Linked DNA regions of Mus musculus: all the other regions are reported to be linked to region 3. The links are microRNA targets in miRTarBase. Many come from high-throughput screens and were not tested one by one. Region 3 holds a microRNA gene; each other region holds the end of a gene's coding sequence. Distances are between the middles of the regions.

The links. The annotated mature microRNA mmu-miR-1953 reads UGGGAAAGUUCUCAGGCUUCUG and lies in region 3 at 2,906-2,927, opposite strand. An mRNA with a match to its seed (bases 2 to 7 or 8) in the 3' UTR can be bound and repressed. Matches are read on the target gene's strand: a 7mer-m8 pairs with bases 2 to 8, a 7mer-A1 pairs with bases 2 to 7 and ends in A, and an 8mer does both.
Region 1: the mRNA of Ptk6 is a reported target of mmu-miR-1953. Seed matches in the 3' UTR shown: 7mer-m8 at 3,536-3,542 and 7mer-m8 at 3,375-3,381.
Region 2: the mRNA of Psat1 is a reported target of mmu-miR-1953. Seed matches in the 3' UTR shown: 7mer-A1 at 3,416-3,422.

Annotation. Positions count from the first base shown.
Region 1 is chr2:181,192,064-181,198,071 of GRCm38, forward strand. It overlaps Ptk6 (PTK6 protein tyrosine kinase 6), which reads right to left. Exons shown (of 8, transcript NM_009184.2): 6 at 4,882-5,063; 7 at 4,238-4,391; 8 at 3,061-3,893. The coding sequence ends at 3,706. Among named protein-coding and RNA genes, the nearest start is that of Ptk6, 7.7 kb to the right of the region's middle.
Region 2 is chr19:15,902,530-15,908,537 of GRCm38, forward strand. It overlaps Psat1 (phosphoserine aminotransferase 1), which reads right to left. Exons shown (of 9, transcript NM_177420.2): 8 at 4,401-4,538; 9 at 2,594-3,622. The coding sequence ends at 3,517. Among named protein-coding and RNA genes, the nearest start is that of Psat1, 20 kb to the right of the region's middle.
Region 3 is chr2:151,964,676-151,970,683 of GRCm38, forward strand. Mir1953 (microRNA 1953) reads right to left here and starts at 2,942; the gene lies at 2,854-2,942. Fam110a (family with sequence similarity 110, member A) reads right to left here. Exons shown (of 2, transcript NM_146127.3): 2 at 4,721-6,008. The coding sequence ends at 5,283.

The sequences.
Region 1 (6,008 bases), 29 Mb from region 3:
CATCTCACCAGCCCCCCAGAGTCTCATTATTTCTGGGAACAAAGTGGTCAGGAAGAAAAGCCCACAGTTACACAAGTTGGTCTTGAATCTTTTGTGGTGAAAATGCCCTTGAACTTTTGATTCTCCTCTTTCTACCTCCTAAATAATAGGAACTTGGGTATGCATCACCAAACCTGGTGTATGCACTGTTGGGGATGAAACTCAAGATGTCACGTGTGTTAGGAAAGTGCTCTGCCAACTGAGCTGCAGTCCCAGCCTCTGAGCTATTTAAAAGAACTCTTAAATCCTTTCAGTCCTTACCTTTGACTATATGAGATAAGATTCCATTCCACCAGACCTTTGGAAGGCACTTTGAAAAAGCATCCATCAACAAGCTGCATGTGGGGATGTATACCTTTAGTCTCCGCACTAGGAGGCAGAGGCACAGGCAGGTGGATCTCCGAGTTTATGGCCAGCCTGGGCTATAGAGCTAGTTCCAGGATGACCAGGGCTGCACAGAGAAACCCTGTCTCAGAAAACAAAACAATAATGATCCATCAGCTTTCTCTCCCTATTTTTCTTTTTCATAATTTAGAACAAGTCCTATGTTAGCCTTCAGTGACTATTCTCTCTAAATGATAATGTATAACCTTACCACAAATGGAGTTTCCCTGAACGCTTTGCACGTAGGTGGTTTTCCTTGTTATTTCTAGTGGTTCTAATTACATATGTTGTTATTCTTAACTCTTAGAGTCCCTAGCACCCACGAGCTATGGTAGCCAACATGCCACTGAAGAAAACCTTTGTGGGCACTGTAGTAGGATGCCCTTCATTGCACAGCTCTGCATACTATAGACCCAAGCACAACTACCTCCATTCTGTGTAAAAACAGGAGGCCATAGCAGATCAGCCTAAGCTTGTTTCCTTAGGAATGACCCCAAAGCTGATTTGTTAACTACATCTCTCAAGCCTGAACAAACTTAAGGTTGTGGGATGCTTTTTATAAATTAAAATTACTGTTGAGGAGTTCATTTAGCTTTCACTCCACTTACATTTCTGTCCACTCAACAGTTACAGGCGTGTTACAAGGTATCAGCACTAAAATTGCTCTTGTTAACAAGTCAGGCAAATGTCACCAACACCACAAAAGCAAGACCATCCCCTTCGTCCCTTCCTCTATTCTACCCTTGGGTTTCATTTCTCCTTTTAGCATTTTAAATACTCAGTAGAATGAAACTTGTTTAAACCCTGGTAAGAAAAAAAAAGTCTATCTCAGTAGCTCTCAACCTTTGGGTTGTAACCTCTTTGACAAAAGGGAATTCTATCTCCAAAAATATTCATAATTCATAACAGTAGCAAAATTACAGTTACGGAGTAGCAACAAAAGTAATTTTATGGTTAGATGTCACCACAATATGAGGAACTGCATTAAAGGGTCGCAGAATTAGGAAGGTGAGAACAACTGGTCTAGCTATACTGTGTTCATGTTGGACAGGTCTGGAAACATTCCTGTTTTTTATTTTACATTATTCTAGATCATGTGATCTTTAAGAACATTTGACTTTGTTTCTATATTTCTGAGAGATTTTAGGGATATTTAATGAGCACTCATCTCTAGACCAGTCCAAACAGAACTGTAAGAGATTTTTTTTTTGTTTTTTTTTTTTTATTTTGTTGTTTCCTTGTTTTTGAGACAGGGTCACTCTTTGCATGTTAGAACTCTGTAGACCAGGCTGCTCCCAAACACACAGATATACCTGAATCTGCTTCACAAGTGCTGGGATTAAAGAAGTGTACCAGGGTTGTCCCCTCTATAACTGGGGGAAGGACTCTACAAACAGCCAAATGTACACGGTCCCTATAGCTTTAATTTTAGAACGTTTAGTCCTGATTCAGTTTATGTCCACTTGGATTTTTATACAAATTTTGTTCTTTTTTATTTATTTTTGTTTTTATGAAACAGGGTCTCCCTGTGTAGCTCTGGCTGCCCTGAAATTTGCTACATAGACCAGGCTGGCCTGGAACTCACAGAGATCTGCCTACCTCTGTCTCTCAAGTGCTAGGATTAAAGATGTGCACCACCAAGCCCAGTCCAAATTCTGTTCTTGGTGAAAATGAAAGGTTCAGTTACTGAGAGAGGGGAAATTTTTGATGAATGTCTATGCAAAAGACTTTATTCAAAGGTTTTCATTTGCCCTGTTTCCAAACATTTTCCTGTGCTCTCCCTATCTAGTGACGACGTTACATCCCAGAGAGCTGCTTTACAGGAAGCAGTACAGAAAGTGTCATCTCTAGGATACAGAGAGGATGTTTCTGTAAGGAAGGTTGCGGCATCTTCACCTGTTGTGAGAGGGCAATCTGGACGTGGCTGTAGACATGTCATCAGAGAATTATGCCCACTTCCAGTCAGGTAGCCTCGGGTACGTGCTTTTGGGATACTCCCCCTCAGAACTGGGGTTCTAATCTCCAAGTACATAAGGAGATGAAATGGAGAACAGATAGCCTGTCTAGCCTTTATGGGTCAAGTATGGGTTCAAAAGCACTGAAGACACATGAGGGAGAGCAGCCTTGGACCAGAGCCATCTTGGAAAACTCGGGTCCAAATGGGAATCAGAGGATGGCACAGGATATAAGGGTATCCTGCCTCAGGAACCCAGGGCAAAAGCATCTCTGAAGGGAAAGGACACGGAGCTCTGAAAGTAAACACCAGACTCACAAGCTCAGACCGAGTTTGACTTTAGAAACAAGTGCAGAGCCTCGGGCAGAGATGCAGAAGAGCTGCCTCTGCCCACATGGTTAAGAATCCTGGCTCTGCCAGGCAACAACAGTAGCACATGCCTTTAATCCCAGCACTTGGGAAGCAGAGGCAGGTGGATCTCTGTGAATTTAATGCCATCCCGGTCTACAGAATGACTTCCTGGACAGCCAGAGCTACATAGAGAAAACCTGTCTTGGAAAAAGCAAACAAGAAAATCTCCTGGCTCTTACTGACTCCATCGTCTTCCCTCTGCTTCTGCGGACCCCAGGTGATTGGGTATCTCAAGCACTCACTCCCCACTGGGCACCGGAAACCACAAAGCAGAAATTTCATATCCATTTATCTCTGTCTTCAACTTTCTAGGTGAGGATCCTCCAACAAAACCAAGGTTATAAAGAGAAAATCATGTAAACTTGTTCTGGGTTGTATGTGGCATAAGATCCTGCAGAATTAAGGTGCTAAAGGGTAGGGTATGTGTTTGTGGACAGTCAAGCTCCAAAAGTGGTATGAAAAGAACTCCACAAGGCCTGTTGCCTAGACTCTTCTTGGCTTCTCTGTCACATGAAGTCTTCACAGGAGAAGGGAGGAAGAAGCCAGAGAGTGACTTTCTGGATTTTGTGTATTGCCTCCTGGAGGAGGGAAAGGAAGCCGGGTTGCGCACGCCTTTGATCCCAGCACTTGGGAGGCAGAGGCAGGCAGATTTCTGAGTTTGAGGCCAGCCTCCTCTACAAAGTGAGTTCCAGGAGAGCCAGGGCTATACAGAGAAACCCTGTCTCGAAACCCCCCCCCCCCAAAAAAGGGAAAGGAGCCTCTTTACTCTTTCCTTGACAAAACGCAGTATTTGAGGTATGTTTGGTATGTTTCCTATCCCTTCATCTCAGTAAACTGAAGGATGGTTCATGCCTTCAATAGAAGTCCAGGATAATCACGAGGCCCTCTTCTGTGGGTCCTGGCCACGTCCAAGGAGCTCAGACCAGGTTCTCATACCTGGTGATACCTGTGAGTTTCTCACACAGGTCTTTGAAGCAAGGTCTCTGCTTGGGGTCTCTGCTCCAGCAGCTGAGCATCAGCTTGTGTATGTTGGGTGGGCACTCCAGAGGGCAGGGCATGCGGTAGCCGGCATCCACCCTCAGGAAGGTTTCATGATTGGACATGCCTGTGGCCCATGGGAGAAGAGAAATGAGAGCTAGGAGACTGATCCCTGGAAGCCACACCCAGCTTCCTTTGGCTCCTCCCTGAATGCTGACCCCTGCTAGAATGACCACCATCATGCCCTGGACATGTTGTAGCACACTGTCCATGGATGTTCCCTTCCCTGTGGATGGTGTCTCCCAGAAATGATCCCAAAAGCATGCTCCCAGATGCTCGAGGAATGAAACAGGGGTGGGGTCTGGTTGAGGCCCTGGGAAACACCTCCTGTCATCTCTGTCACCCATTCAAGACCTGCCCTGACTCTAGCTCACTATTTGTCCACCCCTGGAGACATTCTTGGGGCAATACCTGGGTAGGGCATCTGCCCCCTGCTGAAAATTTCATGAAGAAGAACTCCAAAAGACCAGACATCAGACTTGATGGAGTAATGCCCTCGGGAAAGTGCCTCAGGTGCTGTCCATTTGTAGGGGACATTGTGCTCATGGGAAAGGTAGATGTCCTCCTGTGGTAAGATGTCTTATGGTAGGACCTGACACTAGAGAGAGCTGCCACTTGTACCCTTCTTGTGTAGCACTGACAAGCATGGACTCCAAGGTCCTGGTGAGCAGGGACAACCACATTGCCTATTGCTGTCTGACCCACTAACACCACCCCACTGCTACCATGGGTAGCTACCACCAATGCTGCCAGAATCATGGCTAGGCCCAGTAAATATGCCAATTCACTAGAATTCTGGGTCAGGGAAAGACAAGAGCAGAGTTACAATGCATGAATACAGGAAAATCTCTAGGTACATGGCTATGTCTGTCTAGGTTCTCAAAGCTAGATCAGTAGGGTATGAACAAGGCTGTGGCTGTATAGATAAAGCCATCTTGCTTGCCTATTAACGCCACCCTATCAGGAACCCATCTTGCTTATGGCTAGGTTCAGCTCAAGGCTTGGGAGATAAAGCCCCACCTCCTGCTTCTGTCTCCTACCTCCAAGGGACCTACCTTGACAAGCCTGGCAAGCCCAAAGTCCCCCACTTTGCAGAGATTGTTCTCTGTAACAAGAACGTTCCTTGCAGCCAGGTCACGGTGGATGTAATTCTGAGATTCCAGGTAGCACATGCCCTCAGCAACCTGTGATGCAAAGTCCACCAGCTCCAAAATAGGCAGGGCTTTCTCATCAGAGTCTGTAGGGTGATCAAAGGCCAGAGTCAGCTGGCCAGAGACCAGTCCTCATTTACTGTGGCTACGAAGGCTACAGCAAAGAGCAGCTGGCTTGGCTTAATTGCAAAATGGGAAGGCCTAGACCTTCTGCAGCTATGTACCTAGAGACAAAGAGCATATTCTTTGTCTGACACCCTTTCTGGGAATCATAAAGCAATCTAAGGTCAAGAGCATTGCTGCAAGATATTCTTGGTATGTAGCCATTGAACACTCTAGATAATGCGCAGCCAGCAAGTACTACACCTACAAGGGGCATGAGTTTCATCTCTGGAGACTTCTTCCTGCAGAAACTGCTTATGAGATCAAGCTCTTTATGAGAAACACAAAGAAAGAGAGAGAATTTAGAATTTAGAGAGAAGCTGGTGGGCTAAGGCAAGTCACTAGCAGGCTACACAAGCCTATAGTAAAGTAACCTCAGCTAACTGTGAGGATAGAAATTGTGAGGGAGAGTTCTTTTCTGTACTTTTTCAAATTTTATGATCAGCAATTGGTAGATTTTTTTTGTACTTAATAAGACCATTTACTTGTCTCTTTTGTTATGTATGTATGTATGATGTGTGTGTGTATGTATGTGGAAGTCAGAGGACAACATCGGGTGTTAGTCTTCACCAGTGACGTGTTCCAGGATGGTTTTGTGGTTTGCTACTGAGCCAGATAAAACAAGAATTCTCCCATTGCCTCCCATCTCACCGTAGAAGCCTAGGGGTAACAGAAGCCCGCTCCTGTGCTTGCCTTTACACTAACTAGTTCTGAGGATTCAGACTCAGGTAACAGAAGCCCACTCCTGTGCTTGCCTTTACACTAACTAGTTCTGGGGACTCAGACTCAGGTCCTCGTGCCTGCCTAGCAAGCACTTCACCCACTGAGCCATCTCTCCCACCATTGGTTTTTTTTTTTTTTTTTTAACG
Region 2 (6,008 bases), not on the chromosome of region 3:
CTGGTGAGCCTTCCAATTCTGGATTGTAGTTCATTCCAAATATAGTCAAGTTGTCAACCAGGAATAGCCACTACACTAGCCCTCTATCAGATGTAGGATTGGTAAAGATCTCCCAATCTGTTGGTTGCCATTTTGCCCTATTTGGGTATAGAGAGCTGTAGCACAGTGAGCTCTCGACACTGCTTGTCTGTCTTTATGGTCTTATTGGTTGTTTCAGCACTAAAGAGAGGGGGAAAATCACTCCCTCAGCTCACACAAGTGCATGCCAAGTCTCCTAGCACCAGGGTCACAGGGTGATGACAAGACACTGGCTGTGTCTCCCAATAACAGGAATCTAACAGGGAAAGGAAGAGCTAGGGACAGATTTCAATGCCTTCTTGTGCAAAGACTTTTCTTTAACTGCAGTACTGGAGTCACCATGATGTGGAAAGTGAGTACATGGGTGTTGGGATCACAAAGAAAGAGACCAAGGAGCCTGACCAAGGAACAGACCAGGCATAACTTACCGCCTTCTAGGGGTATGTGCTCAGAAGGTAAGCAGAGGAAGTGCACTCGATTTTCATTTTAACTTAGGTGGTGACTGTGTCTCTTCCCACTGGCTGAGGTTGAACTTTATTCACTCTTATTCAGTTGGCCAGTCTGAAAAGAACTGGTGTACAGGAAACCGGAGGAGGGGGGGGCGGGGGATGACACGACCAGTCACTTTAAGTTGAGAATGTAGCAGGGCTTTTGTGTAAACCAAGGTTTTACTGATTTTACTGGGTTGAGGTATGGGGGATTTGCATAAAAATTCTTATGAAGTGGGACACATGAAAAGATTTAATTCTTCGTCATCATCGCAGGCTCTATAGTATTTGATAGAAAAGACTCCTATTTAATGCAGCTTAAACAGAACATACACGAAGCTTCCCCCTGCCCCCCACTGAGATGACATCAGGACACATATGTGGGTAAAGAACTTTGAAAGAGAAAAATAAAACTTCAGAATCAGTTTAGAAGATCCCATAGAACAAGAGGCAGTCCTTCACCTAGCCTCACAGGGGCCCCAAAGTCTCCTCTGATGTCCTGCTTCTAAACCTTCAGGGACAGGCCAGCAGGTTCGCACCCCAAAGCCTAGTCAGCTGCTGCATCCCTAGCACCCCCCCCCACCCCCCCCACGCTCCCTGCGCCCGCCCAACAGACTGGCCTCAGCTGATCTCTTACAGCAAACAAAGGTCACATTTTATGCTCTGGTTGTTTTCTAAGATCTGTGCTCCAGAGTCTACCATGCGAGACAGACAACTGGCTACCTCCAAAAGCTTTCAAACGGTAAAGATGATTCTTGCAATCTCCCCTCTGGATCAGAGAATCGCAGTCAGTCGTTCAGCAGATGAATTGCACTGTACACTAAGCTTCTGATATTTGATCCAATCCATGTGCTGAGACTGCATTCTGCCTTTACTGCCCCAAGCTGTTTGCAATACGAAGAAACCGTGCTCTATGTTCATTAGGCAGTCTGAGCATCTAAGTGCAGGACAGACAAGCAGCCACCCCAGCATCACAAAGAGAAATGGTCCTGCGAATAAAAAACAAACCTCTGCAGAACAAGGAAAAGAGCAGGAAAGAGAACAGAAAGCAGAGACTAGCAGATCTCTAGGAAGAGAAGGCTGGTCTGCTTAGTGTGGTATGGGCAAACAAGTAACAGGAACACTCGTTAGCACAAGAGACAGGAAGCCAGGCAGATGACGGCAAGCACTGACAGCCACACTAAGAAGCCTGGGTCACTCGAGCATCCACACACTGAGCAGAGAGGAAGTCAGTCCCAGCGGCTGTGGCGAGAGGAGCGGAAGGAACAGAGACGAGATGCTGAAACGATCCCAGGGTTTCCACAGCAAGACTGGCTGTGCCATGAAGGGTTAAAATAGAGAAAATGGGGGTTCACACACACGTGGAAAGGGGGCTTAACTCTGAGCACTAGTGCTGTTTGTGACCCAGAATGATCAAACTGGGCTCTTGGCATTGACAGAGGAAAAGAGCTTGTTTTTTTGTTTTTTTGTTTTTTTCCATTTTTTATTAGGTATTTAGCTCATTTACATTTCCAATGCTATACCAAAAGTCCCCCATACCCACCCACCCCCACTCCCCTACCCACCCACTCCACCTTTTGGCCCTGGTGTTCCCCTGTACTGGGGCATACAAAGTAAGAGCTTGTTTTAAATGCAAACATCCTGCAATGTTGGGTCTTATTTCAACTCTTCACCAATGAGCTGGTGGAACCTGACCGGAGAAACCAAGCAATCAGTGTCTTCCCCTTGTGCAATCGAATGCAACAGGATGAGCGCAAAGCTGTTCTGCTGCCTTTTTTTTCTGGGCTAACTGGGACAGAGTTCACAAAACTCTTCCCTGGGAGCTGTGCTGGAAGGGACTCTGCTGACAGTGTTTGTTCCAAAGTAAAAGGCAAGCAACCACACTGAGTTGCACAAGAACGAAGCCTGACACCTTTGTCTAGACTACACTACCCTATCACAGGCTAATTTTAAACCCTAGGCTCCCCATCAGAATGTTTAAAAGCAGCACCTGACTAAAAAAGCAAGCAGAATAATTCACAGGCAATGAATGGCTTAGATGACTTAGGACTTTAATGTTTTCCATGCAGTCGATTGAAAACACTGATACATGAACAACCAGAAAAAGACCTCAGCAATGTATAGACCTGGAATATATAGTGTTGCCCTGGTTAAACTACAAGAACAGCCACGTGATCACAGTTTGAGGGTGGAAGGCAGGGGTGTGACTGAGTTTTGTTTAACGGCCTAACCGAAAAGCAAAGAATCAACCATTTCTTCTACTTGTGGCAAGAAACGAGAGTCATGGTGGAACGTGTAGATCCTTCTCATGACGCAGCTTTAAAAGGCAGTAGATGGAGAGCACAGGTGACTAGAACGGACGACAGTCATGCACAAAGTCATGGGCTGAACAAAACTGTTTCATTAGAAATATAAAGGCATAGGCATAAACCGTACGGTGTTTAAAACAATACCCACTACATAAACACAGCATAACACACCTATCTCTTTATGGGAATTGCAGTACACAGATCCAAAACGCTCGTGAGTCGCTGTTGACTTGAACCAACTGCTGCAGAACCCAGCAAACTCACTGCTGTCAATCCAGCCCACAGGGCCTCCAACCTCCTAATAATAACCAGTTGGAACCAGCAGGGCAAAGCCCAAGGCAGTCCACCTAGAGAAGGGGGCAGCAAAGATGGCTGACAGGCTGAATTCATTTAGAAGAGCAACAGGAAAGAAAGCTTTCAAAATGCTTCCAGGTCACATGAGAATGAAGGTGGCTGTTAGCTGGGAGTTTCCTCAGCTCTGCAGTGCCCTGATGTTTAGTCGTTATTCTTTGAGAAAGGAATCTGTAATAAGCATGTATTTGGGAAAAAAAAATCCATGTCTGTTAAGTTTCTGTAGTCAATCCCAAGTTACTCTAAACGACGCTGCGTGCTGCTCACAGGCAGAGCGTGGCTGGTCATGTTCACAGCTGATGCATCTCCAAGAAATTCTTCATGAAGGCCGCCAGCTTCTCAACGTCTTCGGTTGTGACAGCGTTATACAGAGAGGCACGAATGCCTCCCACTGACCTAGAACAACAGAGGCCCGTCCAGTGAGACCAAGAAAATGGAAGAGAGCAAATCTGGGTTAAAGCCCTCACATACGTAGGGCTCCAGGTTTGAACCTCAACAACATAGAAAAACGTGCAATGCAAAAGGCGTCTGCTTGAGCACAACACACCCTTCACTAGCTACCCCTCCGGAGAGCGGCAGCTCCCAGCCCGGGTGCTCAAGTTTGCACCCGAAAGCATCCCCAGCAGGCAGCATGAAGCTTCAGTCATTAGGAAATCCCTTGTACGGTGAAGATCATCTACCCACTGAATTACCTCAATCTAGTTTTTAGTCTCATTCATTGGCTTGTTATTTGTACAAATTAATGGGTTTCACTGTGGCATTTCCAGAGATGCATACACTGGACTTTGATCACACCCAAACTATTCACCTTTGATAAAGAAGAAACCAAATAGGAGGAAGGGGACTCAGAGGAGGAGGGTGACTGGGTTTGGGGCCATGCCACTCACTACACTATGCAACAGTTCTAACCACATAGAGCACTCTGCTGCTGGTCTCCTGGTCACAGTATCTGATGTTCAACTGAGCCCAGTGATGGTCTGTTAACACCAGAGTGAAGCAGGCAGCCCTACCAGGGGCACCTTCAGTGTTGATGAAACCCCCGTGCAAAATGCACCGCAACCCAGCCAGAAGCGGCTTATTCTCCAGCAAGTCTATAACCACTACCCCAGGCCGTGTAAGGTCCTGGGTTTTATTCTTTCTGCCTCTGACAGGCCTGGGGACAAGGTGTGCTTACCTGTGCCCCTTCAAGGAGATCATGTTGAGTTCTACCGCCTTGTCAAGAAACCGCTTTTCCAAAGCTTCGTCTCCTTTGGCGTTGCCAATGCGAAATGGGATGTTCATCCTGCTTCTATTCTGGCGCTCCACTGGGCATCTGAAAAGCGTGTCTATTACTCATCTGTGTTTCTAAGAGGTACAGTGTCATAAGCGAATATATAGGTTCTCAAACAGTACTAAGGGCTGGGGCTGGCATTCAGCTGACAGAGTGCTTAACCAGTGCAGGGTTCTGATGGTACGAGCCTGTAACCTGGAGCAACCAGGAAGCGGATACAAGAGCATCAGTGTTCAGGGTCATCCAGAGCCACGTGGTGATTTTAAGGCCAGCGGGGGCTAAGTAATAAAATAAAATAAACAACTGGATGATTAAAAAGAAGGAAAAGAAACGAAAAGCAAGGGCTGGAGAGATGGCTCAGTGGTTAAGAGCATTGACTGCTCTGCCAGAGACCCTGAGTTCAATTCCCAGCAACCACATGGTGGCTCACAACCATCTGTAATGGAATCCGATGCCCTCTTCCAGTGTGTGTCTGAAGACAGCTGCAGTGTACACATATAAATAAAAAATAAAATAAATGAAAGCAAAACAAACAGACTCTCGCCCAGAATGTTATAATTTACCCATGGCGAGAAGCCTCACTCACACAGCAGTAGGCTAGCGGTCACTTGTATAACCTGCATCTCATTTCTGTCAACCTCAGTCCCTTCACTTGAATATAAGCAGCAGCACTGTCTCTGTTTCACAGGATCTGTGACAATTGAGTGGATCGTTTACAGAGCTACGAGCACACGTCAACCATGCAGCACAAGTCTGCAGCTCTTTCTGCAAGGCTGCAGACAAGCAGGGCCCGTCCCGTGGCTGAAGACTCAGAATCAAAGATCTGGACTTGCAGCTCACGCCCCCTGATTACCCACCCTGCATGAAGAGGAAATAATAGGGGACAATCATGTCGTAAAAGCTCAGAACGGAAAACTGAATCACAAACATGTCAGCCACTGCCTCATGTCCTCCATACAAGACGAAGAAGGGACTCCGTCGTTCTCCTCCCGGTGAAAGATGGAATTAGACTTTGAGGCCAGGAGGGTGGTTAGCTGGAGAGGACTACAGAATTCCAAAATGGCAACCTTGCTGAGCAGTGAAGAGGGGACTATGTGGAAGTAGGGAATGGAGAGCAGAGGAGGAAGAGGGAACGGGAGGACTGTGGAGGAGGAGGCTGCCCAAGCTCTGGTTAGTTTGCTCTCGGTTAGCATGCTGGGCTCCTGGCAGGAATGTCTGGAGGCACATGACCCTGGTCCATGGAGAGCGTGCTGGCCCTCTTTCAGCAATTTGACTGGGTCAGTAATGATGATGGGTAGTGAGTTTGCACAGTAGTAGATCTGAGTTTTAGAAAAACAGCCATGGGGGCTGGAGATGGCTCGGTCAGCCAGCTGCTTGCTCTGCATGTGCCTGAATACAGCGACGGTGTACTCACATACATAAAATAAATTTTTTTTTAAAGATGCTAAGTTCATGGATGCTTTATTACAGCAGCCCCAGGAAACATCTACAAGATCCATGTGTTGTCCAGAC
Region 3 (6,008 bases):
TGCTGCTGGTTATGTGTGGGCTTCAGGTAACAGGACAGAGCTCCCTGAGGAGGTAACCCAGACATAGGATAAAGGAGAAAATGAATCGTGTGGGTCTCCAGCCTTGGTAAGAAGGCAGCAGGTACAAAGGCGCTGGAGAGAAATGTGTGCTGCACTCCTGGAATACTAGGGAGGTAGCATGGAGTGTGGAGGAGAAACAGGGTCAAGGTCGTGACCCTGGTCAAGCCTTTGGTCAAGACTTTGACCGTGAGGATGTAGTCCAGGCTGCCTGACAGAATGGGCTCAAGGCTCCCCGACAGCTCCGTGTGCCAAGGTCCAGCTCCAGGTCCAAACCCACCTTTTCTCTAGGCTTCCACCACAGGACCCTTGCTTCCAGCGCACTATGGGTCCTCAGGGCTCGCTTCTCTTACAATTTTTCTACAGATCTAGGACTTTTTTTTTTTAAGTGGCTTCAATGTAAAGGACGGGGGTTTATTCAAAAGCACCTGGGAAGAGAAACTTTCCCCCTCAAGGGAAACTAAAACCAATAAATGAACCACTGTCTGTCGTACCACTCTGGGGAAACTGAGGGAACTATGGCCGGGTTAGGAGGCACCAAGCAAACAAAAAAAGCAAAGCAAACAGCGACCCGTGGAAAAACAATGATCGGTACAAGAGAGGACATGCAGAGGAGACATGAGATGCAAAGGGATGTGAGACAGTATTTGTAGAGTTGTGACAGAAATATTGTGCAATGAAAAATTGTGGTTCACATCAAGTTAGAAGAGTAGGTGAATAAAGGCTAACTTCCTTGATATCAATCAAAAGGAAGTTTGAACCCGGGCTCATGCATCACGCTAAGCACATACGTGTATCATTCTAAGCACATGTGTGCATCATGCTAAGCACCTGTGTGCAAGTCCTCCCAACAACTCAATCACCTGAAAGCTCATGACTGCTTACAAATGAAAACTGACCACATGACCAGTGAGGGGAAGGGAGGAACTGGGGCAGGCCAGCAGGCTGTTGCACTCTCTATGAAGACAATAGATGGCAAAACCAATCACTATTTGTCCAAAATTAACCCAGGGTGGGGGGGCTCCTTAGAAATACCGAGGCAGGTACCTGGAAAAAACAAAAACAAAAACAAAGAGCTGAATGTGGTTGCTTTGGAGGAAAGCATCTGGAAGGGACTGAATGTTTTCATTGGGCTGTTTAACCCATACAGATGTAAGGAGGAGCTGCAGGTGGGAGCACGTTGGGAGGGGATAACAAGGGGACTTCCCACATGATGGAAATAGGGCTGGGGCACAGTGATCACTCAGCAAGTGATGAGCAAGTGATGGCCTTTAAAGAGCTGTGTGTGTTTCATAGTTTAATAATAAATAATAATAATAATAATAATAATAATAAATACATGGGGCTGGAGTCATGGCTCAGTGAGTGAAGTGTTTGCTGCACAAGCATGAGGACCTAAGGTCAGCTCTGTATGTCCACTGCAGTGACACGCAGATGGTCAGGGACAGACACTGAGCGTGCCAGTGAACATCTGCAGCCCCAGTACTGCAGGAACACACACAGGTGGCTCCCAGGGGCTTGCTGGCTAGCTAGCACACCTGAACATAGAGAATTCCAGCTTCAGCCAGAAACCGTTCCTCAAAAACTACGATGAAGGGTAACAAAGGCAGGCAACAGATGTGGCCCTCTGGCTGGCACATGTACATGTGCAGAAAAGGGCACCTGTATAGACATGTGTACACACACGCATCACATACAATAATGTTATATCATACCCTGGAAGGAGGTGTGTTGGTGTGCACATTTTACTTTGAAAAGCTTTATAAGAAGTGTTGCTACAATGGAGAGAGATAGACGGGTGGGCAGATGGACTCCCAACAGAACAAATGCAGTGAGACATTAAAGTGCATTCAGGGGTGGCTAAGTATTCACTGGATAATTTCTTCACCTTTCAAGTTTTTTTCTAATAACGAGCCAGGGAAGACAGGCCACTTTGGGTGTTATTTGAAACACACACTATTGCTAAAAACCTAGCTGGGGGCCTGGAATGAGGACCCAGCAGTTTGCTTGCTGCTCTTTCAGAGGGCCAGGGTTTGATTTCCAGCATCCGCATAATCCATCCCTAATTCCAGTTCCAGGGGACCCAGTGCCCTCTTCTGACCTCCACAGTCACCAGGCACACATGCAAGCAGAACATTCATATTTAAAAAATACGATAATCTAAAAACAACAAAACCAAAAAAACAAAAACCAAACTAGTAGGGTTGCTCTGCCCACACCTGGATATACCACACACCTCTGTGCATGCAGGGGTAGCTGTCACTATGCTCTAGCCTATGTCCCCACTGCGCTCTGGGGACTCAGAGTTCAGGGGACAACAGCCTAACTCCTCACTACTCTGTGCTCCCCAGCACCCAGGGCACAGGACAGATGGGGAAGTCTGCCCCGGATGTCCTGGGATGCCTTGTTAGCAAAAAAAAAAATAAAAAAATAAAAAAAATTTCACCAGAGACAGCCCCTTCAGCTAGCACTCTACTGTCTGCCAGAAGGTAAACTGAGGCTGGGGGGGGCGCTTTTTACACCTCTAGCACTGAAATGGATCACCAAACCACAGTCTCCCAAGCTCCTTTGTGTATGGTCAGCTAGTAGGGAGGAACAGAAAACAGGTCTCTGCCTTAATTAGGCAAGCCGGCAGCTGGGGCCAGGCTGGCTGGGAGCCCCCGGCAGCCAGGGCAGCAGCTGCCAGGTCGGGTCTCCGTAGAGCTGAACAACAGCAGCAGAAGCGCCTGAGCTTAGACTCCTGATTCTCACACCACGGGGGAGGCAGAACAATGGAAGAGCTGGCTCCCCAGATCTTAGGGCTGCCAGGAAGAGGGGAACCTCACAGCCTTCTGCTCCTGCAAATTCTCAGAAGCCTGAGAACTTTCCCAAGACCAGGCAGCACCTGGGGGAGAAATCAAACCTGGCCCAGCCCACCACCACTTCCAGTAATGGCCTCCAGAGTCCTCGGCTACGGAAAAGCACAGCTCTACATTTAGGGCTGATGTCCCTTCTGCTTTAGACTCCTCCATCAGGTTAACTGTTCTCCCTGAACACTGGGATGAGGACCATGTCTAATAGGGGTACCCAGTGGGTACTTAGCTGATAAGGAAGAGAGCTTAAGTTCACGAAGAGGAAGAAGCTCCAGGGTGGGGCAGACTACTTCAGAGTGTCTGGAAGACCATCCTGCCCATAACTTACCACCACTCCATGTTCCACTTCCTGCTCTCAGACCCCACACCTACCTCTCCAAACATCACCTCACATATCTGATGAGAGGTGTGGCCAGAAATAACCCCTCCTCCAGGAACTGGGGTTCACTATTGTTCCTGAAACCAAAACCTTAATATCTTTCTGTTTTGTTTTTCAAGACAGGGTTTCTTTGAATAGCCCTGGAACTAGCTCTGTAGACCAGGCTGGCCTCCAGTTCACAGAGGTCCATCTGCCTCTGCCTCCCCGCTGCTGGGATGTAGGTGTGTGCCACCAATACCCTGCCAGAACCCTCATTTCTTCACATGCCAAGTGCAGCCAGCTCACCTACCCTTCTGGGTGGCTGGGGTACTGAGGGTCACAAGTCAGAAAGAGACTGTGACCCAAGGCCAGCAGGGTATCTAGAGGGGCAGGGTGGCTGGCCTGGATCTCTCCCCAACCCCGCTCCTTTTCAGGGTATGCCAGGTCACTGCCCTCCTGTACCCATCTCCAGATGGGGTGGGAAGCAGTGTCCTCAGTTTCCCCTTCTTTCTCTAAACCACCCTGGACGTTGGGGGTTGATGGTAAACACACAGCTATGCTGACCCACATGTTTGTCAACAACCCAGGGGAAATCTCTTCTTTAATGCTTAAAATAAAACCATCATCAACCTGTCACCACCACCCCTTCCTATGTTTCCTGTTTCTGAGGACTGGAGCCAAGGCAGCCTGCAGGGAGGAAACATCACCAAGACACGCCCCACCCCCACCCCCGTGGGGGACAATCAAGCCATCCCCCAGATCACCCTTTGTGAACCCAGGGGTCCCTGCTGCTCCACTACACTGGGGAAAACTAAACGGGGAGTGGACAGATGTGCGGCCACAGCATCAGCCACAGCATCCACGGTTGGCTGCTCTGCGGGGCCCGGGCACTGGGATACAGATTACTTCAAAACTTCCAGAATACAAGGTCCCAACCCCAAAAGACTATACCACCTAGCTCTCCACTGAGGCACAGAAGCAAGACTGGCCTGTCCAGGGTCGGCTGGGATCACAGGCAAGGCCACCACTCTGGGCTGTTCTCTCCCAAGTCCCTCTTGCTCTAAGAACTCCATCCTCCAGCCGCTCCTCTGTTGCCTGGTGACCAAGAGTGAGGGTTTTCTCAGGTTGAGCATCCCTTGGCAGCTCAGCACGGCTCAGCAGCTCAGGGATGTTCCTGCCAGCCTTCTCGCTGAAAGCCCCTTCCTTCCAGAAAGAAGCCACTGGGTTCTGGTTCCACTCACTGGCTAGCTGTCTCCTGACCTAGAGAGGACCCTGCAGGCTTCTGGAGAAAGTGAGGTTGCCCCTGCTGGATGCGTCTCACGTGTGGCCTGCCCACGCTGGCATAGGAGAACCACTGATGTCCTGCACACCAGATCCTGGTTCATTCCATTCTGAAGGCCCTACCCCAAGACTTTTCACACTCCTTTCCCCGTGAGCAGAGAAGAGTCCAAAACCTTGAGAAAACGAACATTTGTGTTTATTAGCCACAGAGACTTCAGAGCACCAGGCTCCTAACCAGTCCCTCCTACAAGTCTACCCACCTAGGCCAACTGCCAAAGACCAGGAAGACCAGCAGACAGGCCCCATCCTCTCAACCTCCTCCCCGGGGTGAGTTCCCAGGAAGCAAGGGCCCTCTGGGTAAGGAAGAGGAAGTCAGCAAAAGAGGACAGACAGGGAAGAAGGAAATAGGGCCTGGGGCAGACAGACTTGGCAAAGCACTTGATCCCCAACTCAGTGGAGGGTACGCGACCCAAATCCAGTGTCACCGGAGGAAACAGGCAGAAGCACACTTGTGTCGCAAACTTTGTTAGGGGGTGGGGTAGGCCAAGGGCAACAGCAAACTTCTGTGGGTCAGTCCTTGCTTGCCAGAGGATGCTGGTCTAAGTCTTGGCCTCTACATTAAATTCACCCAAGAGTCTCTGGGTCTGCAGGAAGGCAGCCAATGGATACAGGAAAGGACAAAGTGCCAACTGTCTCTTCACGATGTCTTCCCGGGAAACCCCAGTCCAGGAGGCCTAACCCTCAGTGGTGGGAGGGTCACGAGCCTGCCGCAACCCATATAGCCACTTGATCACACGAGCGTTTCGCTCGATCACAGACACCCCATAGGGGACACGATCCAGGGACCGCTCTTCCACTGTAGCAGAGCTGCGGCGTGAGCAGCCCCCTTCAGAGCTGCAAGGTCCAGCACTTGGCCCGGCTAGAGACACGATGTCCGAGCTGGCCCTTGCTAAGTGGGCCACCCCCAATCCTCGCGCTTCCTCTGGGTCCAGGCCACAGAAGTTAAAAAAGCGCTCAAGATCGGCTGCTGCCCTGGAAAAGCGCTCACTCAAGTCCGACTTGGACCGCTGCAGGCCAGGGGGCCGGCCGGGGCTGGAAGTGGTAGTGGTGCCAGGTGATGGATAGGGCCGAGCAGGTGAAGCAGGCAAGGGACGAACGTCCACTCGGCGCACCGCGACAGTACTGGGTGGCGGACGAGGAGGGGTGGCTGGTGGGACCTTGTGGGCAGATCCTTCTGGCCTTCCAGGTGTTCGGCTGGCCTCAGATGGGGACACAGGACTATCACACAAGTTGATGAGGCTGCTAAGGATGTCGAGGTCCAGTTGGGGCCGGCGGCCAGAACAGGGCAGGACTCGGCGACTGGGTGTGAGCACTGGGCCGCGAGGACCAGGGCTGAAGAGGGGCTGTCTGACCAGCGGGGGCTGCACCGGCTCTTGGCGGGTGTTGGCCACACGCAGGCT